Linked DNA regions of Drosophila melanogaster. The protein of the gene in region 2 interacts with the protein of the main gene of each other region in a pairwise test. Each region holds a gene or a part of one and is shown on either strand. Other genes may lie near its edges.

Evidence for each region. The genes of interacting proteins can lie anywhere in the genome.
Region 1: the proteins of CG15365 (region 2) and CG13949 interact in a two-hybrid assay, tested with the Drosophila melanogaster proteins (one large-scale study listed by BioGRID).
Region 3: the proteins of CG15365 (region 2) and CG5149 interact in a two-hybrid assay, tested with the Drosophila melanogaster proteins (one large-scale study listed by BioGRID).

The regions. Positions count from the first base shown.
Region 1 is NT_033779.5:853,156-859,321, forward strand, and holds CG13949 (uncharacterized protein), read left to right. Parts: upstream 1-2,315; 5' UTR 2,316-2,394; coding exon 2,395-2,468; intron 2,469-2,531; coding exon 2,532-2,655; intron 2,656-2,712; coding exon 2,713-2,952; 3' UTR 2,953-3,484; downstream 3,485-6,166. Other genes in the region: kraken, read left to right, coding at 37-123, 390-1,228.
Region 2 is NC_004354.4:9,062,597-9,071,447, reverse strand, and holds the start of CG15365 (uncharacterized protein), read left to right. Parts: upstream 1-3,464; 5' UTR 3,465-3,940; intron 3,941-8,851. Other genes in the region: CG44325 (uncharacterized protein), read left to right, coding at 790-856; CG10970 (uncharacterized protein), read left to right, coding at 1,383-1,694.
Region 3 is NT_033779.5:7,381,804-7,390,666, forward strand, and holds CG5149 (uncharacterized protein), read right to left. Parts: upstream 6,451-8,863; 5' UTR 6,301-6,450; coding exon 6,172-6,300; intron 4,846-6,171; coding exon 4,621-4,845; intron 4,380-4,620; coding exon 4,064-4,379; intron 4,002-4,063; coding exon 3,628-4,001; intron 3,564-3,627; coding exon 3,457-3,563; intron 3,338-3,456; coding exon 3,247-3,337; intron 3,189-3,246; coding exon 3,084-3,188; 3' UTR 2,683-3,083; downstream 1-2,682. Other genes in the region: ninaC (neither inactivation nor afterpotential C), read left to right, coding at 1-102, 158-255, 319-372, 955-1,142, 1,208-1,623, 1,676-1,952, 2,004-2,384; gudu, read left to right, coding at 6,873-7,489, 7,572-8,823.

The sequences.
Region 1 (6,166 bases), on a different chromosome or scaffold from region 2:
AGTTGAATTACTTATGTGGATTCCCCCTGCTTTCAGATGGCCAGACGGAGGAGCCCCTGCAGCTGCTGGGCGAGGACAGCTGGGAGGAGTTCTCTATCGCGGTGCCCTGGGGAACCGTTGAGGGTGAGTCACCTGCCAGCCGTTTCCTAATCAACAGCATCGACCATTCATGGCAATCCGACGTGATTTTCGATGTGACGCGGCTAAAATATTTTGTTAGTTTCGACGCACTACAAGTGTTCTACTAACTGAGCCCAATAACGCTATCTCTTTGCTTGTTTTTTGAGTAATATTTTTTGGAAACATCACGCGATTCCCCTGAACGATTAACATACACGTGCTGAAACCAAGTTACATACATATGTACTAATCGATTTTCCCGCTTGCAGCCAAGTGGTGGGGCTCGAAGGAGAGGCAGCCCATCATCGCCCTGCACGGCTGGCAGGACAACTGCGGCAGCTTCGACAGGCTGTGCCCCCTGCTACCGGCGGACACCTCCATCCTGGCCATCGATCTGCCCGGGCACGGCAAGTCGTCGCACTATCCGATGGGCATGCAGTACTTCATCTTCTGGGACGGCATATGCCTGATTCGCCGGATAGTCCGCAAGTATAACTGGAAGAACGTCACTCTGCTGGGCCACTCGCTGGGCGGAGCTCTGACCTTCATGTACGCGGCCAGCTTTCCCACGGAGGTGGAGAAGCTGATCAACATCGATATCGCGGGTCCCACGGTGCGCGGCACCCAACGGATGGCGGAGGGCACTGGCAGGGCGCTGGACAAGTTCCTGGACTACGAAACCCTGCCGGAGAGCAAGCAGCCCTGCTACTCGTACGACGAGATGATCAAACTGGTGCTGGACGCGTACGATGGGTCCGTGGATGAGCCTTCGGTTCGTGTGCTCATGAACAGGGGAATGAGGCACAATCCGAGCAAGAATGGCTACCTCTTTGCCAGGGATCTGAGGCTAAAAGTAAGCCTGCTGGGCATGTTCACCGCCGAGCAGACGTTGGCCTACGCACGCCAGATTCGCTGTCGCGTGCTCAACATTCGGGGTATTCCCGGCATGAAGTTCGAGACGCCACAGGTGTATGCGGATGTGATTGCCACGCTGCGGGAGAATGCCGCGAAGGTGGTCTACGTTGAGGTGCCCGGCACCCATCATCTGCACCTGGTCACCCCGGATCGAGTGGCGCCCCACATTATTCGATTCCTGAAGGAGGCGTAAGATTCCATTACTTAAGTAGACGGCTAGATAGAGAGTACTGTGTGTGTATATAGTTAGTGTATTTCATCCCACTTGTGATGTACAGTGATCAAAGGTATGTGCCCGATTTGCACGGCTCTAAATGTTATAACAGATAATAAACACAAATTTATGACTAAACAAGGTAAAGTCTTTTCGTCACAGCTTTGCTACTTGGACTTTGTGCGGCGAGTTAGCTGTTTAGCAAAATATCTTCAAAGTAAATCTTTTAATAGCTACTATTCTCTTTTTAGCAAGTCACAGTTAAAAACACTTTTATTGGAGTGCTAAGCGAGTTTCGTGGTGAAAGCCCTTAATATTTAATTACCCTTATCTGATTGAGACGCAGACCTTTTCTCGACCTTTGAACCAAAGTATTGAAGGTCTCAAAAGATATCTAATGCTATAATCATCGCCTTTAGTCATCAAATTAGACAAAAAGAAACTTTAGGTAGTCGCGCCTAAAGTCGTAATTTGATTAAACAGAGATTAAAACCTGAAGGTGTAAAAACCGAAAAAGGTTCCACCTAGAAAATAAACTTGCGTCTCCTAGATAATGCTGACGTACATACATACATATATCTTCTATGAACAATAGAGCTATATAAAGTGAATATATATCAACTCTACGATAACTCAAATGAAAATTAATTTCGAATAGCAAGACAGTTGACAAAATTGGTTTATTCGAAAATATAATAAATCATGGGGAGATAAACTATCGCATTTTCCTATGTAATTACTTTCGCATTTATTGACTATTCAGATAAAGCTGAAATCTTTACAACCAACTGATATCGAAATAAAGGGTTCTCATTAACACTATGAAAATTGTTATGTTTGGTATGCTTTTTATTTTAGCATGTATCAAATATCTCCTTTCTCTTGTAATTTAAATTTGAAACCAATAAAATTTTTTTGGAGTGTAAAATAGTATTTTTAAATTCCATGTAAAATATCGTTGGCACTTAAGGGTTCATGCTACCGCTATATTTATCTATCTACGTGGCAACTCCATTCGTCTCCAAAAGTTTCCCCACGGCTGGCAACGCCTCGTAACGGTTGCCAAACAAATTACCGTTGCATGGCAACTCGTTTGTTTGGGCTTTTGTTTACAAATTTACAAAATCCGTTTGCAAGGACGCACAATGGACCTCATCAAGGAGATCAACGACAAATACATGGCCCTCGAGGCGGAGATCGACCAGAAACTGGAGAAAGTGTAGGTTGGTCATGGCACTGTGCAAGGATGATGTTACATACATATATTGGACTACATCTCTAGGCAAGCCGAGGAACTAAAACTGGAACGGCAGAACGAGCAGCTGGCCGAGTCTTCAATCTGTGCACCTGCTCCCAAGGTTCTGTCCTACGAAGAGGCTCTCCTGCGAAACACCAACACCTTGAAGGTAAGCCATCTCTTGGGATATCAGAGGTTCATAAGGTTGTTCCCATTCCCATTGCAGGCTCTGGAAATAGCCAAGGCCCGTTTGAGATCGCGTTCCACGTACTCTCCCGTGGAGAAACTCCTTCAACAGGCCCTGCAGAACTACCGACGGGAGCTGGAGAGTCTGCAGGACGCAGAGGATAGGGGCAAGGATCCGAAGAACCCAGACAACCAGGAGGAGGAGGGGGAGGAGGAAAATCTCTATGATCTGGTCATGCAGAATGTGATGGAGGCCAAGAGGCAACAGACCGATCTATAAGACATGTATTTCCCTGGAACTCGAGCAATTCGTGTGGCCACATTTGATCCAGTTGTATATATTGTTCACAAGTGAGACACTGCCAAGCTGAATAAACAAGCCGCAAGTGTACACATTTGCTGGAAATTGAATCGAGAAAGGTAGAATGCGAATGGGAATGCCAAGTGAAATGGGGTGTATGCTCACACATTCTGTTCCCACTTCAAACAATGATCGAAATGGAGCAAACAACGGTTGACGAAATGCAGCCGCAGCGGGCCACCTTGTTGCCATCCCAATCATCTAAGTGCCCCATCGACGACGATGTTCCCACCCTCGACGTTATCACCGCTGGAAGTATTGTGTATCTGCCAAGGCGAGAAGATATCTCCTGCAGTCAGGCAGGCAACATTAGAGCAAACACATTTACCTAATTAGTTGGCCATCTAACCACTTGGACATCGCCAAATCTGAGTGGAGCACGCCGAAAGGAAGCCCAGGCAATCAACTTGGTAATAAATCAATTAATGACACTCCGTCTCGTGCGAACATCAAAGAAAATTATGACTCTCTTGGCATGTTCGCCTTGTCTTCTGATAAAGTCGCCGGCGATAGCGCGGGTGGGTCGAAGGTGTCACTTGTCAGCGGTACAGCCGGGGTCATAGAGATATAAGCGATACTTATAACAGGGATTGTACCATAATCAGCCAAAAACTGTAATGGTGGGATCAACGAGTTTCTTTCTCTTCTAGGCATTAGATCAAATGGTGATCTTGGGCAGCCTATTACCTTACTACATTTCACCACTATCGTAGTGACCTGAGCTGTGAGCTGGCCTGAATGGATGCACCCGACCGGGGGTCGCAGGCAAAGGGAGCGGGCGAGAGCCCTCACCTGTGCGCACCACTACCTGTTCTGATAAGGCCAGCTATTGAGACAAATTGTGGGGCGACAGCTCCGTTTCCACTGGCATTTCCATTTCTATTTCATTTTCTTCTCAGCCCTTCGGCTACGTTGACAGCGGCGTTTAATGGCCAATACAAAGACAGCACGCACGCTCGGATGTGAGTGCTATCTCGGAATATCACCCACTTTCTGCTCCAGTTCAATATTTCATATTTATTTGCTTTCCGTTTCTGTTTTTCGGCTCTCCCGCTCCCGCTCCCACTCCTCTGCTGCTCGTTGCCGAGCTCCTGGCATTCGCACCTGTACAGGTGAGATATGGGCAACCGATCGACGATACTGGGTGTACTTCGTGGGGCCCCGATTCTTGGTCGGGAGCTGGTGTTTTAAACTTCACCGTCAAATCCGACGTTTCAGTTACGTTCCGAGTCGCGACAAGTGCATATTGTGCCGCCCGATCCAACCGATCGGCGGCTAGATATGGAGCACCCAGTGTGGAGGTGGCGGTGCCTACGTGTAGCTACTCCGACATGGAGCCATCCGAAACCCCTTCCGGGCAGCGAATTACTTGGGCCAAGGGAATGCAAACTGTGATCATCCCGAAAGTTTGTTCGTTTGGCTTAAGTTATTTTCATGTCCGACTAAAGCGCCACGTGGTGGAGATCGGATATACAAGGTGGATATGGTGGCCACCTCCCAAGGAAGTTGTCTTTCGGTCTGCTAACAGCTCGAGTGAACTAATGAGTTGGCCACGCTTGGTGATCCCAACTGGGTACGTCAGCAGGTGAGGATCGGGGGTGGGTCTGAACCCCATGAGCAGCGCCTCCTCGAAGGCCCATCGATCTGGAATGATTAGCCTGGCACTGATACCGAGAAGCGACGTGATTCGCTCCGCTCCCAAATAGCAGACGCCGGCTGATTAAATCCGCCGCCATACTCGGCTTCCGTTTGGGTTTCGGAGTCCGACTCCGACTCCGACTCCGAATCCGAATCCGAGTGGAGAACTGCTCTTCGGCTGGGGCTGGGGCTGGGAATCGGATACTCCACTTGGTGCGCTGGCACGGTCGCTCGGGGCCGTAAACCCATTATCACTATATTGGTTGTACGATTTGCGGATCCGTCGCCAGTTGGCCGACTGTAAAATCTGATTTCTGTAGACGTGTCGTCGCTTTGCCCCAACCGATTCGATACGGCTGGGGAAACTGACTTGGGAACGAGATAAGAGCTCTGGGAACTCTGGGAGCACCGAAAGAAAAACATACACAGTGTGCTGATCATTTCGAGGAATTATCTTACCACCCAGAAACTTATTTGATATGTCGATGATTATACGAGCTGATGATTGAAGATATATGAAGTAGGTATATTGAAGGTATCTTTTTTATCTATTTTCTTCCAGTGCAGTGGGGTGGCAAAGGGCTTTGTGGGTAGGGCAAACGTGGCACTCTCTCTATAAGGTAAAAAGGTAGCCGAAGCCAAACTGATAATTGTGCAACGTACACAAACCTTGCTCGCATTGCTCCACTTGCTTTCGGTTTATCAGTTGGAGTGACAAGCGGAAATTAAAGTTGAAATCGACACGATTATTTCATTAGTTCTGTTTGCGAAGGGCCGAACAAGTGGGCGGAGTGATCCGAAAGGTCGGATCCGAAAGGCAGGAGCTGGCAAGGTCACCCGGATGTTTATATTCGGCAGTCTAGTTGCCGATTGACGGATTGATTGTCAGTGGCCATAACTAACCAATTAGCGATTGCCATTCGTAGCAGGCAAAGCCAGGCACATCTTCGGATGGTTGGGTCGGGTGGGTCACCAGCTGGCCCGGGTGCTCCAAGGTGAAACGCAGCCAGAAATAAGTGCGCCCAGCCAAGTCGAGTTAAGCTGAAGACTTGGACCCAATTCGATCAGGTGCAAGCGACAGAAACAGCGAAGATGGCATAGACAAACAGAGGCCACGTTTTCGTTGGGGGAGTACAGTGAAGCCTCCAAGCAGGACCCCTCCTTTCGAAGAGATCTTAGATCTTAGATCTTGATCTTAGAAATAGTTCGATTAAGGCTAATAGAAATCAAAGCTCTGGCTGAGATCTGGGATCGGATGGATGGACTGGTCGCCTTTAAGGACCTTCCACTGTTCGAGGGCACGAGTGGAGCCCTGGGAAGATGTCATTGGTTTGGACGTGGACGAAAGCGAAAGGTGTAGACGGAGACAGAACTTCAGCGAATATGCCAAGGTACGTCAGGAGAAATGAATTACCCGGACTGGAGTCGTAGCTAGTTGGAAGGGGGATGTCTCGAGGAGGGGCTGGCAAAGTGCTCCAGCCCCCAAGTCGCACTT
Region 2 (8,851 bases):
TGTTACGAGCGTTTTATATGTATTTATACGTGTCTTAAGCTAATCTCAGATATGCGCACGCAGATTATATACAGGAATCCATTAAATATATACACATACACAACATATATGTACATTCCAGCTATCTGTGGTTATAATATGCTAAACTCACAACATCTGACCATGTCTTACATCACCATAATTGCCATTCCGCTGCCGGGATAATGGGCCATAATTGCCAGAGGGCTAAGTTTCTGGGAAAACGAAAAAATGAATAAACTCACGGTCCTGACGTCACGTGCCGGCAACTGTTGCAAAAATCCCAATGGACTGTGTTTCCAATTCGCATTCAAATTCAAATTCCAACTGCGACCCACCATTAAATGGTGGTCAACTCCTTCGCTTTGCCAATCCATGGTTGTAAACTTCTAAGAATCAGGGATTAGCGCTTCAATTAACACCAGATAAACCCTTTGTTTATTTAACTAGAAGTTTTCAATAAGAAGCTTACAACATAAATACTTAACTTATATGCATGTCGCATGCGCATTTAAAAGATATTTCTTTGACTTGTCAAATTTTGCATATAAAAAATTGAGAGTGCTGCGCGTATATGTTGCATCTATTAAAGAGTATTGCCCCCATTCGTTGCTTTTGCCCGTTGCCAACTTTTCTTCGTTCTGCTGCTGTGTTGTTGTCGTGCCACAAGCTTATCATAATTAAGCAATTTATATAATTTGTAATTATTTTTTTTTTATTTTTATCATCCGCATGACAACTCTGTGAAAAAATGTACATAAATATGTGCAGACGGCAGGAGGTGCCCGTTTTGGCGGAGGAGTCGAGGAAAAATAAAGTCGAGATAGATCGCTTTTAGGATGGGCCTGCTAAGAGAGATGCAAAGCATAGAGATACGGAGCCGCTGAGATACAAAGATACAAAGCTACAAAGATACTAAGATACAAAGATACTAAGATACAAAGATTCGGATGCACATACAAAACGCCAAAGACTTGAAACCGCCTTGTGATTTATATATTTACTTTTGTTTATACTTTGTATGTTTCTCTCTATCCCCTTTTTTGTTTTTATGTTGCTATTTACACATTTTTTTCTTTTGTTGTTTAACTAAAAACTTGCGCTAAGTTTACAAGAGGGTTTGTTTGTTTTGTTTTGTTTTTTGCTGGAAATGTAACCTGCTGCCGCTGATTTCTTGTGGCGATTATGGATACACGATAATTGGAGGCAATTACGATCGGATCTGGAGGTTCAAAGTCAGGGTCACAGAGCGCCGAGACTTTGCCATCAAGTCAATCGAGTGGTTGTGTGACCTTCGAAACTACATATTGTACACCCTGTTTTTTTTTTTTTTTTTTTTTTTGGCAAATTCAATCTTACTCGAGATGGCAGGCCAAAAGGAGGAGATCTTGTGCTGTGACTTTGAGGTGCGTGGCAGGGTGCCCAAGGATGCTTTCGAGCTGTTTGCACTGGTCCAGGCCAATGCACTGGGACTGCGGGGATTCATTGCCCAGGTGTCGGAGGAGAAGTTCAAGGGTCGTCTGGAGGGCGAGGGCAAGGTGATCGATGCCTTTAAGAAGCTCATCCTGGCCGCCGCCGATTACGTGCAGGCCATCAAGGAGTTCATTATTAAGAATCTGAAAGTCATCCAGGAATACACCTACAAGACCTTCGAAATCAAGGTGAACCTAAAGTGATTAAAGGATCAAACAAAATAAAATATTTCCAATGCATAATTTTGTTTAAAACGGCTATCAAAAGTTTTATCCATTATGATTTGTCTAATATTTTTGTTGTATGGATATAACAAGGTATTTTCCAAATAAAAATTACACAGTTATATAATCACAAATTCAAAAGAGTTTCCTAAAGAGCTGATTTATACAACAAGCAATTTCCCAAAGAGAAGAACCTGTATGAAAATGCCAAACTTTTCATGGGCTCATTGTGGATTGAATGATTATTGTTGCGATTGCTGGATCTGGGCAATTCTCCAAATGACCCATGGATTCTCACTTACGAGTACTCCATCGTTGGTTCTAGGACCCATTGCGATCGTGACGAATGAGCTAATGATGTCCATGATCCGTGGGAGGGGATAACCTTGTGGCCATCGCCGCCGGCGATCGGATATCAAATCGAATCGCATGCCTCGGATGCATATACTCGTAGTAAGCTAGCGATGTTCCCGGCTGTTTGGCATGCAAATCGAAGAATCTGATCGCCACCTCGATCGACACGATGAAGGTGTACCACTGGACAACAGCGAACATATAGCCACGGATGGTTATTTATGCGTTCGCGGATACAACTGCCGATTCACTGAGTTCCAGACTTCTCAACCAAATAGCACTGGTTAACAGGCCAGTGAGAAGTGGTAGATTTGAAGTTTAGTTTTTCTATATTAAGAAGATCATCTTAGTCGGCTAAGCACAAAACGTTACCATCTCAACACTGCACATCGGGGGGAATTATCAAAGTGTTCTTTTGTAGGCCAGTGTCGTGTATCTGCAGTGATATATGGACAGCTAAACTATCTTGGCTCAAGCAACGTTACAATTTTATGGGTCAATTTGCGGACGGCCATTACTAGAATTTGTGTGTGTGTGTGTGTGTGCAACAGGTAGCCAAGTGTGTTTTACACAGAGGAAATTAAAAAATCCTTGGTATAAAAATCCTTCCTCCTGAGAAATCTTAAGGTTCAAATATATTCCAGTGAAGAAACTAACCAAATATTAAATACTATTAAATTTTAAATACTATACTATTAAATATCAAATACTATTAAATATTTTAAAGAATTATCTGTAAGTAATACAATTTTCTCGCTGTGTATCTATGAATGTAAGCAATGAACCTATATGCGAAAAGCCACAAAATTGAGGGAAATTAACCTAGGCGGCGACTGCGACTTGGACTAATGCGGTTGCCGCGAACATATATGTTTATACATATGTTTGAATCCCAAGTCTGGATCCGAATCGGTATCCAAAATCAGAATTAGCCGCTTAATTGCAGCGCTGTGGCAACGCCAGCAAACCGGAAAGAACGGCGACAATGATTGCCAATCCGATTCGCAAGCAATCAGTGCTGACTGTACGTCATAACACCAATAGAAGCATAATTAGTATAATTATAAGTTATAAAAAGTAAAGAGTATGAGAAACAGCTACTACATTTAGTACACAATACATTGATCTTTTGGAAAATATGCTTATGAAAGTGATTGAATCCTTAGCCAACAAGTTAAATAACTGCATGAATCTCTAAAGTACAAGTTATATTCTTCAATTTTCAAGTAATTCGTACACATAAACGTTTGCAATCGAATGAGAATGTCATTTCGAAGATGACTCTTTTTTTTATAAGCTTTTGAAAAAAGCTAAGCTCTCATCTCTGATCGCCGGCGCGCCGCAGTCGCGTCGCAGTCGCCGTTCGCTGCTTCCAATTCCGACGCTCTGCAGCTCAGTTTGCTTTGAGCGCTGGAACGCGAAAGTCGTCGACGGAGGGCCAACGTTGCGGATGAAAGTTTCGAAGCGAACTGGGAAGATTTTTGAAAAGCGCAGGCGTGCAACGGTTTTTTTTTTTTAGTTTTTCTTTTTTTTTTTTGGGGGGGTTTGGGCTACGCTTCGCGGCGAGCGGTGAATGGCAGCCTTTTTTTCGAGTGTGGTGGCTGAGTGCAATTCAAAACGCATTTCGTGCATAATTTGTGGAATTTTACGCGTTGTAAAATCAATTTCATTGTGCAAATTTGAAAACTTGCCTGCTTTCCGTTGGCTTTCAGCGGCAACAGCTGAAATATAATGCAGCCACATCAAGCGGGCAAGCAATAAACAAATATCAAAAAAAAAAAAAAAACCAAGAAAATTTACAAAATATAAAAACACACACATTTGAAGAGTCAACAACAGCGATTACAAGGCACTAAAAACCAAAGGAAGAGGTGAGCAAATATTTCCATTCATTTGTTATTCTTTCGTTGGGCTTAAAATATTTTCGTATTTTTTTTTTCTTGTTGCTGTCTGATTTTTCGTTTATTTTGGTTTCGCTGATTTTTTTAATTCGAATGGAGTACACAGAAAATAATAGAATATGTTGAAAATTGTAAGATTTAAACATAATAATATATTTATTATGTGGCATTTGAAATTGAAAACGTGCTAAAATCAATTTGAATTCGACCTGCCTAGCTTGATTAGAACAAAGTAGTACATGCTCTTTTCGCACAGTGTGCCTATCCCAGCTGGCTCACACACACACAGGCACACGCACAACCTCTTTAAAGTTGTCGCTGTTGTTGTTGTCCTCATTTATCTGGACTCAAAGAGCTGAAGTTCGGAGTCGCGGACTCAAAAACTCTGAGCCGTCGTCTTCGATTATTGAGCCGTTTGACTTTTTCCCAACTGCCAGCGAACCTGTTGGCCCCACAGGCAAAAAACAAAAACTACAGCGAAAATATATACGAAACTGGTGAAAAAAGTAGATATATATACATATATATATATATATATATGAAAAAAAAAGATGAAAAAGATGCTCTGGTCAGCCTCTAGAAATAAGCAAGTATCTGTCTTTGAGCTCTTTTCTCTTCTCAATCTTTTGCTTTTTTGCTTTTTTTTTACACTCGTAAAGCCCATAAAGTGCCGCATATACTTGACCTATCCGAAACTGCGGGTTCTACCCGGGGGGAATGGATAATGGATAATGGATAATGGATAATGGATAATGGTCGCCGAAGTGGCCGAGTTGCTTACTGGGTTGGGTTGGCCAGTTGCACTTGGCCTTAAATCGCTTTATTTTACCTGGAAAATCTCTAATTCGTTCCGACGGAATTCAGCGATTTTATGTTGAAATGTCAAGTGCAGAAAAATAAAGTGGTTCTAATAAATATGCAAGTGAAATACATAGATCACTAACAATCCCCTAGATACCTCTTAAAAAACGATCTTTATTTTAAATATACTCATATATAAAGTTTATGAATATCCTTAGTGAATGCAGTAAACAGAAGGCAATATAATATGTTTTTGTAAGTGAAATACTACTTATTTAGAATAATATTCTATAATATATTTGACAAAGACCTGATTTTTTGTTCACTGTGCAATCTGCTTTTGGGTTGAGAGCAATTTTCGTTTGGATTTGGCCCCTCCTCGAGGCCCCTTTAAAAATTATTATTATTACTCTGCCGCATCATTATCGCCGCGCTTGAAATCTAATTTCTGCCCCGGCCACAATTTGCCACACGATTTTGTTTAGTTGTGTTATGTTTTGTCTTATTTCATTTTCTTTGTTGCGAGCCCCAAAGGAATTGAAAGTGCGCGCGCATGCGCAATTAAGGCCAAGTGCGCGCAAAAAAATATATATACGAGTAAATTCACAAAAAAACACACAAACGTCAACTGGCAGGAAAAAATGAAAAACAAAAAAAAAAAAAAAAACAAGAAATGAAAAAAAAAATAACATAAAAACAGGGGATCGTCGGCGGAGGAGGCTGAAGGCTAAAGAGCAGAAATTCACTTTTTAGTTTCGTGAAAAAAAAAACACACAACAGAACCCAGAAGAGAGTACCACATACCCCCCATCCAAATAAAAGGAAAGAAAAAAGCCAGTTGGTGAAAATCCAGCGCATACAGGTTATAAAGATTTATGATCACTTTTGATACCGTCCGCCGTCCACTCGGCCTTCCAATGTAGGTGAAGCTCAAGTGAAAGAAGATAACGTGGCTTAGTGCAGATGAAGCTGGCTCGGAGCGACTGGGCCACGAATGTGGCCACAACGCCATATAGCCATATAGCCAGCCAGCTATGCCCACTTAGATTCAGGTCATCAACGCCGGCGGGCCATTGAGAAAATCGCGATTTCTTCGAGGAAATCCAACTGAACAAGAGCATCGATAAATGTATTAATTAATAAGAGTAATGGCAAAACAGTTTAGATTTAATTAAATTGAAGTACAACCTTAGTTTTGGTTAACAGGATAACTACAAACAATATTATTTGGCAAATAATTAAAAGTGTCTCATTAAGGCCTCAATCAACACTTCAGTTTATTGACAATGATTGATGGGCCGAATTGCTTGAGGAATGGGGTCAAAACTATTGATTTAACAACATATTCGTTACATTCATGTTATTTGCTTTTTGGTATAAGTATATATTTTTTTTGTAATTATGTATGCGCAATTAGGTAATATATGTCATAAAGCATAGATAAATGAACCTAACCTTTATTCGAATGAAATATTTTACACCCTCGTTATACAAATATCTATTACTCATAATAAAGGTCACGCTCCTGTTGTTTTATTGCCCGCACAATCTGCTTTTTATATAGCCCCATTTTACACATAGTTATCCATCGTGATTCATTTGATTGAATCGTGTTGCAATCATTATGCATTCAAACAAATAGTTTCCACTTTGTATGCAATAGTTAGCCAATAGATCACTTAATGGCTTCTTAATTGGCAGTTAACGCGAAATTGGCAGCAAAAGTAGATGTGCAAGTGTGTTTTTTTTTTAGATTCAATTCTATCTTGTTCTATCAAAAACTCAAGCAATTTGGAGTTTATTCACATAAATTCACTGAGTGAACTGCGTACTTCATTTGAATATAAAGCGTGTGTTCAGTTTTTTGCTTCACTCATTAGCTGAAATATAAATTATATTAGTTTCAACTGCTATTAAACAACATTTGTTTGCCTCTTCCATCAAACTGTAAATCCTCACTCTTTCACTCACTGCACATTCATTAAGTTGAACTTCTTATCGCATTGCATTTAATTACTCACTTCGCTAACAGATTTTCTCACCATTCATTTGCTGCATTAATTCATGTTTTTGCATTTCCCCCCTTAAAAAAAAATTAAATGTATATACATACGTACATATATCTTGAAAGCGAGAAAGGCAAAAAAAAAAAAAAATAATAATAATAAAAAAAATAACAATTACCAAGGCAGATAACTCATTAATAACTTGCATGGCAAAAGGTATTTTTAATTTTGTTGCCGAGCATTTTTTGTTACGGTTAATGTTGGAATAACTATTCATGAGACTTAAACGGGTTACTGCTGCTCCGCTCGTTGCTTTCTACCAGCCGACAAATGAACAAAACCATACAAAAATATCACAAATACACCCACAGCGTAAAATCCAAATACAAATCCAAATCCAAGACCATCCATCCATCCATCCATCCAACCAACCATTCAACTATCCATCTATAACTTTTGGGGTCTTTCGAGTGTTTTTTGAATGGCCCGTGAATGCGGGCTGCCAAAAATCGAGAAAAAAAAAAACACAAAAAATAACACAAAAAACTAACTCGAAGAATGGTTATTTGGAGCTCTTTCGCTATATATAGCAAACCGAGTCGGCTTTGTAGGCCCAATTGACCTTAAATTATTGCCCTAGCGTTGGCGTAATGTTTCAAAATTCTCGCATAATACATATACTTAAGGTGAATACTTGGGCCCAGCATATTTATTTTGGCTTTTGACCACATTTGGCCAATGGCCAATGAAAAAAAAAAAAAAAAAAAACATGCAAATCGGGTTTTTATGATACATACACTGTGCTGTTGCCTTTCGCGCTTTTTTTTTCGCTCAATTAACCTGCGATATCCGGCCAGAAAGCAACCCGGGCAATTACAAATGCAGAGCAGCTCCAGCTCCACATCCAAGTGGTCGTCATGCCACATGCCACTTGCCACATGCCGCATGCGAGCTTTCACTGATCCAGCCAAGCACAACTGGGCAGTTTGGATCGGACTCTGATCCTAGATCCAAGATCGCACAATAAAAATCCAAAAAAGAAGCAAAAAAAAAAAAAAAGAAAATAAATAAAAATAAAATAAAAAGAAAAACGTGGGCGAACTTTCCCACGTCCAAAGATTGCGGAGCAGCTGCACAGTGCGAAAAAGGGAGGGCAGTAGTATATGAAAAGAAGCTATTTATACATATATATATATATATATATATATATATATATATAATCAAACCGAAAAGCACTTGACGACTTTCTTTGAAATGAAGAAATCTGTTGGGCTGCTAGAAATGCAATGTCTTCTTTCACTTAGTGTGTATTTAAAACAACCAAATGTTTTTTCCTGCACAACAAAGCTTCGTCACGCTCCAATGTGTTGATTTGGAAGAAAAAAAAAAAAAATTAAAAAAACAGCAAATACACAAAAAACCCAGGCAGATACACAAATTTCACAAATATCAATTGATGTGTGGCGGCGGCGTTACTTCAGCATGTTGCTCCCGGGTGCGAATCAGCAGCAGCATCTGAATCTGAAACATCACAAGCATACCAAAACATCACAGACTTCAAAAACATCAGCATCAGCATCAGCAGAAAAAAATTGCCCTTGGGGGCCAAATCTCATCGCGAATCGGATGGGAATGGAACCTGAGATTCGAAAAGTGCTGGAATGACGGGTACCAGGCTCCAGAGCCTCGCCAAAATGTTCTCAGCTGAGAAACGCGACTGCACCTTTCACTTGGAGCGGAAGTACACGGAGAGAAATCGTGGCTGTTGAAGCAGCAGTTTAGAAGTTTATAGAAGTTTTGCTAGCTGAAATGTTAGAGAAGCATATGTATATAAATTATATTTTATAAAATTTGGAATAATAAATATATGTACGTTTATGGAAGTAAGTTTTATGTACTCTTTTTTTTCTGTGTGCACGTACTTCGTGGGATTTTTCTACGGGGGATTGGCAACAAGAACCGAGTGTTTAGGCTTCATAAATGGCGGGGGTGTGGCAAAAAAAAAAAAAAAATAATAATAAAAACAAACAGGGGGAACGAAGCTTAGAACAGTGTTTTCCCACTAAAAAAAAAA
Region 3 (8,863 bases), on a different chromosome or scaffold from region 2:
GGATAACTGTCGTCTATTATTCTTGCGCCTCAAGATGGAAGGCTGGGCCTTGGGCAAGACCAAGGTGTTTTTGCGCTACTATAACGATGAGTTCTTAGCCAGGTGAGCTATCAATTCATACGCATTGAGAAAAGCAAGTACTATCAATTGCTTTCAGATTGTATGAGCTGCAGGTGAAGAAGGTCATCAAAGTGCAGTCCATGATGCGAGCTTTGCTAGCACGGAAACGAGTTAAGGGCGGCAAAGTTTTCAAATGTAAGATATAAATAATACTTATACAGTATATGGTATGAAATCTAATTTTAAATTCCCTATTAGTGGGCAAAAAGGGACCGGAGCATCATGATGTGGCCGCGTCCAAAATACAAAAAGGTAAAAAAACGCAGGTGGATAGGCTAAGAGAGTACGACGAGGAGCACATCGACATAAGCGAGACGCCCTCGGAGGCGGAGGAGATGTTCCTCGAGGCCAGAATGGATGAGGCTCTGGCAGCGGTGCGAATAGCCAAAATCGAGCAGGCCTCCGCCGAGGAATAGGCCCCTACTATATACCATTTATACACACTATATCACTATATCGATCGATACTAATCGTAATACGACTACCAATAAAATGTAGAAAACGCAAACAACCAGCTATCATCTAGTCTAGGGCCTCGGCAAACCACTTAAGCCGCTTAGTGGTGTCCAATGTGGATACCATCCCACCCCATCCCGCTGGGCGGTTGTGTTCTCCATCTGATGCAACCAATCGGCTTATAGCTGTCTGAGACATAACACTTAACATCGACGGCCCCTGCGAAAAGAGATGAATTATAAGTGCTGCGTAGAAAAGAAATGAAAATTTAATTAAATTAAGGTGACTTCCCTCTCATTCACCACCACCGTCCACCGCCGCGACCGCTTTTCAAATGGGTTACTCTAACGGCCTTCCTCCGTTTCCATTTTCCCACAGCCTTCAGGGGATTCCGCGACCGCGTCCGCCTCCCTCCGCTGGTCAACGAGAAGTCCGGCCAACTAAACGAGAACACCGCCGACTTTATCCGTCCGTTTGCCAAGAAATGGCGCGAGAAGTCTATCTTCCAGGTCCTCCTGCACTACCGCGCGGCTCGCTTCCAGGACTTTGTCAATCTCTCACAGCAGGTGAGTTCAAATCTCTTATCTTCAAATCCAATATATATATATATATATATTATATTATGTACCAGGTCCACATCTACAACCAACGAATGGTGGCTGGCTTGAATAAATGTACTCGGGCTGTGCCCTTCGAGAGGATCAATATGCGCGAAGTGAACTCCTCGCAGCTAGGACCACTGCCAGTGCCCATAAAAAAGATGCCATTCCGCCTGGATCAGATACCCTTCTATGACACCCAGTATATGGTGGACCCGGCCAATTCCATTTCCCGCCAAGCCTTCCCCAATCAGCTACTAACGCAGCACATGGAGGACGATGAGCCTTGGGACAGCCCTCTGCAACGCAATCCTTCGATGACTTCTTGTGCCCTGACCTACAATGCCTATAAGAAGGAGCAGGCTTGCCAGACCAACTGGGATCGCATGGGCGAGAGCGACAATATCTACAATCAGGGCTACTTCCGAGATCCCCAACAGCTGAGGAGGTTAGCAAAGATACTCAAAGGTTGAACTTAAGTTTCTAACACTTTTTTTCAGAAATCAAATGCAGATGAACATGAATGCCTATAACAATGCCTACAACAGCTATAACAGCAACTATAACAACCAGAACTGGGGCGTACATCGATCCGGATCCAGGCGCAACTCCTTGAAGGGCTATGCGGCGCCTCCACCTCCTCCTCCACCAATGCCCTCATCCAACTATTATCGCAATAATCCGAACCAGCAGCAACGCAACTATCAGCAAAGATCCTCGTATCCTCCGTCGGATCCAGTTAGAGAACTTCAGAACATGGCTCGCAACGAGGGTGATGTAAGTGTATGTCAATTTCCTAAGGAAATTCTTCAGATATTTTCTTTCCAGAACTCTGAGGATCCACCATTCAACTTCAAGGCTATGCTGCGCAAGACTAACTATCCGAGGGGATCCGAGACCAACACCTATGACTTTAACAATCGCCGCGGATCGGACAGTGGTGACCAACACACGTTCCAGCCGCCCAAGCTACGCTCGACAGGTCGCCGGTACCAAGACGATGAGGGCTATAATTCATCATCGGGAAACTATGGTGTGTCTAGGAAGTTTGGCCAGCAGCAGAGGGCTCCGACCTTGAGACAATCTCCAGCCAGCGTGGGTCGCAGCTTCGAAGATAGCAATGCTAGATCCTTCGAGGAGGCAGGATCCTATGTAGAAGAGGAGATTGCACCTGGAATCACTCTTTCAGGCTATGCCGTCGATATCTAAAACTAGTGATTAAGAGTAAAAATATTAAAATTAATTGTTATGCAAACCATAAGACAATTTAGCTAAAACCCACCTAAAATTCCAAAATAATGATTGAAGTTTTCTTCATCACTTTCTCAAAAACGTTTCACACAATGGAATAAATAAAATGTCTTGGGATAAATCGTTATTTAAATTTTCACTTTTTTCTTACCGCATTTCATTTTTCTATCTCTATAAACCACTTAATTATTTAGGTTATTTGTAGGTAAATGCTACCTTGGCATACTCAAACATTTAACTTTAAAGACATTGATATAAATTCAGCAATTAATTTGCATTTTATTGACGTAGGATAAAAATGGGAAAAATTCGACGAATTAACATTGCTTATTATGCTTGCTTCTTTGTTACATCATTTAAATGATTTACTTTTCTCACTTTAAGATCTAAAACGCAACAACAATACTCTCAGTATTTCATAAACTATATCCATTATACATTGTATATATAAACATTAATACCTAAACAAAAACGTTTATAGGAATGGATTGAACAAATACTCTTTTGTTCGCAGGACTTTTTTTGTGTGTTCGATAGGGATTGCAAAAAAGCTAAGGAAACTGAATTGAATCATTAACTGCACACCCATATCGGGCATGGTCTCACAAATTCTCGATGATAAAACAAAACTTTTTCCTTAAATAGTTTCACATAATATCAATCATCCATGTTGGGCTCACGCAATCCATCCGAGTGCATTTTCTTGCCCGCAATTTCCAACATGGCCCGATCTTCCAAATTGCCATCCAGCACAGAACGTTTCTATGGGTTAAAGATATGATTATTTATTTAATATAATATTGAGTTTAATTTGACATACGTGACCGTCGCCTTCTTCGTCTTCTTCTTTAACTGGTAAGTCTCCTACGGCCCAAACTTCCATGTTTCGTATTTTGAACTGTTTCCGTTTACTTGGGTACGATAAATAATTGGTAGATTAACCACAATTGTTTAAAATAATGTTGAATTAAAATATAGAATCTAGTGGTCTGTAAGGTGAAACATAATCAAGATTTTAATTTACACTCACCTCAACTGCACGTAGTCTCGATATGTAGTGCAACTTTCAACGCTTTGTCCATCGCCGAAACTGCAGTCAATCCAAAGGCCCCAAAAATCAAACTGACCGCCCATGCCCTGTATACGAAAAATATAAACATTTAGCAAAGCAATCAATCAATTAGCTATAAACATTACTCACCAGGCCATTCGGCATAGTCTGCTGATTCAAATTCAAATACTGATAGTGATTGTTATAAGTTGTGGCCGAAAAGCACCGCATGGCAGGGCTTAAGGTGTAGAGCAATGAGCTGTCATCGCCTCCAAATTGCGGTTTCACGGACCACGTTTCGGACGCGTAGCCGCCAAATATATATTGATCCTCGTCCTCAATAAAGAACAGCGTTGGTCCTTTGTCCAGCACTTTTCCCAACATCGTCGAGAAGCTTTCCCCGTTGATTTTCGATGAGAATAGAAAGCGCCATTTGTGCCGATGTTCGCGGGGCAGCTGAGCATTGATATACAGGACGTGAGGTAGTTCGATGATAGGGCGATAATGACTATTTTGCGGAGCATCTGGAAAATAGGAAAAAAGTTATAAACGATTTTAATAAATTTAAAAATTTTCTTTGTCCTACCACACAGTGCTGGCAGAATTGGAATTTCCATTTCCTTGATTATGTTGCGTTTGCTGCCACCATGGCGACAATACAGCTGGCTAAAGACCTCGCGCCAAATCTGCAAAAACTGCGGAGTGACGTGTAACCAACGTTCCAGGGCATCGTTGGGCATAGTGTGCTCTAGCTCCTTGCCCAGATTTCTCATAAGGCCCTTGGCAAATGTGGCGGCGGACCTTTCCGTGGTGTTAAAGCCAAGATCGTGCCACTCCTTGATGCCAGAGTTTTTCGCTGTACTTTCCAAGTGCACGTAGCTCTTGATCACCGAGTAGATATACTGGGGAATTATAAAATTGATTAATTCGCGAGCAAAAGATAAAAGAATTAAATAAACAAGTTGTTCATATGACAGCTAAGAAAATAAACGTGGAAATCTAGTTTTCAGGATAAACATAAATGGAGAGCTAAACCTAATTCAATAACAAACATGTTATGAATCCTAATGAGGCTCGGCTGACAGAAGTTATAAATATTATTTCCGCGATCTGATGACAATGACTACTTATTTATAGACTCACTTGCTCCAATTGCTTGCTGTTGAAGGTGTCATTTCCACTTCTCTCCATTGAGCCCAGGAGCATTTGCATTTTCTGGTCAATAGTACCGCGTTCCATGATGTAGTAGGGCTCTCCAAATTTCTTCAGCTGAAGGTTGACACATTGCTGACCTGGCTTCGTGGGCGTAAATAGATACTGAGCCGTACTTTCGGCCAGGGATCTTTCGATGGTTTGCGACCAAGTTTCCTATTTTCGAAACAAAACAACAGATACATGTATATGTGTGTACATAAACAAAATGCGCGCCGGATACGTAAACATAATTTTCCCGCTGCTGTCAGCAAATTCTTGCAGGGAACGAAGGTCTGGGAAGCGCTGACACAGATTAACCCATTGAAGGACGTACAATGAATAATAATTTGGTTTGACTGAAAACAAAGTCTCTCAAGTTTTATGAAAATAAATACTACTTCAATGTATGTAAAGTTTCAATTTAGAGAGTTTCCGCTTAAATTACTCTATATGAATGCAAGTCTTATAATTTCCTCATTCTAAAAATCAACTATTTCACATGCCATGCTGTAAACGGGTTAAGCATATGGTTTATTTTTAATTCAATTGGGTTTGGCCCTAATTGACGACCCCAGTCATTGAAATCACGACTAATTCGTTAGCAAGCAAATTCAACAAAGCAAAAGACAAACAGTGAAATGCGGCAGCAAACAAATTAGACAAATTATGGACACGTTCGCACTGGCCCAGGAATTATCAATTCGAAACTGATAACGCCCGAGTTGAAGATATCGAATTTTGCTATACCCTAGGAAGCGCTGTGATAATCAAACACGAGCTATAAATAGATGGAAATATTATAAGGAAAAATCATCATCTGGTTACAAACAAACATTTTTTGAGTGGTTGCATTTCCGTCATCTGTGCTGTGATAAAAATAAAACACAAATCTGGGGCCTTGAACCCGCATCGGAAAAATTATAGCATAAATTGTGTATGATCAGATTGATTTAACTAAATGGGTTAAAATAACAATTTTGGAAAGTTACGTGTACATTTAATCTAAATAGGACTGACTAGTTTAGAAAATTACATTTTTAAACAAGTTGAATAATTTACTTTTTATAAACTCTGTTAAATTTCCTGGTTTGCACTTTAAATCGAAAAAGAACTGTATTAAAATAAGGTTTAGAAACTTTGAACTTTTGTATAATGCCGGATAATGTTGCGACTCACTCTCTTATATAACTAAGCTTCTTTTTCGGAACATAGTACTATGATTAACTTCAATGTTTAATCCTCGAAATAGGAGTTAGTGACAACAACAAATTAATGCCCTAAAGGATATACCCATTCAAGTGAAGGGTGGCCATCGCAGCAGGTGGATGGACGGCCGTTTGTCATGCACTCGAAAGTCCCGATTTCTCTTTTTTTGCCGAAGAAAGTTCACTCCGCGCGTCCTTGAACTTGTGACCCTGACCCTTCCGCAAATGCAGAATGCAGTTGCCATTGATTTTCGCAGTGCACACGTGGCACGGTAACTGGATTTACTTGACTTACCACCAATCTGTCTTGGGTCAACTTCTCAAGTGCTCCGCCAGAGGCGTTTTTGTACGCGGATTCCAGCATGCGTAGCTCTTCCGAATTGTAGAGATTATCCGTCTCCCGCTTGCCACTCGCATTTCCCATCTCAGGACACGAAATTCAGTTGGCTGGTGCTACGACGGCTGGTAAACAAACAATGCAGCTGCAGCTGCGGATGATCGCGGATTTTAATTGAAAATAAAAAACAAACAACACAAGCTGGTGATGGAATGGCAGTCGATTTCCCTGCGATACCCTCGATAGTTTCGGAAACGGGTAAATTTCGCGGTGGTCGTCTGCACTATGAATGGTTATTGTCTGTGCTAAGTCAGGTCGATGTATTTGCTAAACGGTTAATTTTAACCGCTAAGCGAATTCAACGAAGGCCAAGCGAATAAAATAAATTTTAAATGCCTTGGATAGCTGTAGTTAAAAATTTATTAAAATAAAAAAAAACTTACAAGTTTGAGCTAAGATACCTTTGCCCTAGCCCGGTATTTTTGAAATTATCTCAGTTACCTTAGCAACACGCCTTATTAAATCAATTGCCTGGCCTAATAAAGTTCTCCCACACAAAAACACAATAAATTCCGATACAAAACTGAAGAAAGCTGGCATACCGACAGATATTTCCGGAATACGATTGGCCAAATCTGTGAGTAATCCAACGCGAAAGGATGATTGGCACTAGCAGCGGAACGTCCCACAATCGGAGTCGAAAGAAGAAAGAACAGTGCGGATCCTGTCCCAACAGATTCTCAAAGGATAAGCGCCAGGTGGCCGCCGAGGACTCGGATACCACGGAGGTGGAATCGTCTACGGATGAGGAGGAACGCTGGAAGGAAGTGGCGCGAGCCGCTGAGATTCCGGCTGACTATTATAATATCCAAAAACTGGTGAAATACATCAAGGCGGGCAATCAGACAGCCACTATAGTATCGTTGTGCTGCTTGAAGGACTACGATCTGAGCACCCAGATCAATCAGTTCGCCATCTCGGACATCGGCGGACTCGATGTCTTGGTTAACATCCTGGAGTGCAGCGACACCAAGTGCTGTTTGGGCGCCCTCAAAGTTCTCTCAGATATCACACTGAACATCGATATTAGGAAGACCATCGTAGATCTGGATGGCATTCCCCTCATTGTGGACATCCTAAACTCTTCCATGAAGGACCTAAAAACCATGGCCGCCGAGACATTGGCCAATGTGTGCAAGGTGCGACTGGCCAGAAAGTATGTGCGCACCTGCGGAGGAATCCCCAAGCTGGTGGATCTCATCGACATCAAGTTGAGGTGAGTTGGCATTGGATAAAGTGCTTCATACTACATCACCACATATAAGAAATAATTAAAAAAAAACCTAATTATATTATAGCATTCTAAAGACGCCTCGTGACCAATTGAGTCCAGATGATCTGGAATCTCTCGATATGACACGCGCTGGAGCCCGGGCTCTTTTCACTCTGGCCGATTCCAAGCACAACATGGAGCAGATGCGCAAGAGCGGAATTGTTCCTTTGATGGCTCAGCTCCTTAAGTCCTGTCACATCGATGTCGTCATTCCCATAATGGGCACCGTTCGAAAGTGCTCCTCGGAGCCGAAGTTCCAACTGGCCATCACCACCGAGGGCATGATTCCCGACATTGTGAGCCATCTGAGTTCCGAAAATACCGAGCTGAAGATGGAGGGCAGTACAGCGATCTACAAGTGCGCCTTCGACGGAACCACCAGGGATTTGGTGAGGGAGGCTGGGGGCTTGGAACCTTTGGTAACTATCATAAAGGACAAGAATGTGAGGGAAAATAAGCCTTTATTGAGAGGCGCCACTGGAGCGATTTGGATGTGTGCCGTAACCGATGCAAATGTCAAAGTGCTGGATCAACTCAGGACGGTGAACCACCTGGTGGCCTTGCTAAATGATGAGTGTGACGAGGTCCTGACCAACGTGACCGGAGCTATATCTGAATGTGTGAGATTTCAAAGCAATAGGGAGCAACTGCGTCAGGCTGGAGGATTACCAGCAATGGTTTCCCTACTCAACAGTTCTCACGCCCCTCTTCTGGAAAATTTAGCCAAGGGATTGAAGGAGTGTGCCGAAGATCCGGACAGCATGAGAATCCTTGAGGATCTGGATGCGGTCAGGCTGATATGGTCGCTATTGAAGAACCCCACAACTAGGGTTCAGGCCCATGCGGCTTACGCCATATGTCCCTGTGTTCGAAATGCCAACGATTCCGCTGAATTGGTCAGGAGCTTGGTTGGCGCCATGGAACTGGTGGTGGGTCTGCTAAAGTCCAAGGATATCATGGTCTTATCCGCCGTTTGTGCTGCCATTGCAACAATTGCCCAGGATCAAACCAATCTAGCCATCTTAACCGATCTGAAAGTCATCTACAAGCTAGCCGATCTCGTCCAGACCACCGACGACCTCCTTCGAATGAACTTGGCAGCTGCCGTGGCCGCCTGTGCCTGCTTCGGTAATAATACGGAGGAACTGGGACGTCTGCGTACTGTCACTCCGATTGTCACCTACATGACCAGCGACAATCCCTTGGTGCACCGCAGCACGGCCATGGCACTGGAGAAGCTATCGATGGATCCGCAGAACTGCATTACCATGCACCAGGTACATTTCTTCTACCTAATCACACTTAGCAACTCATTTA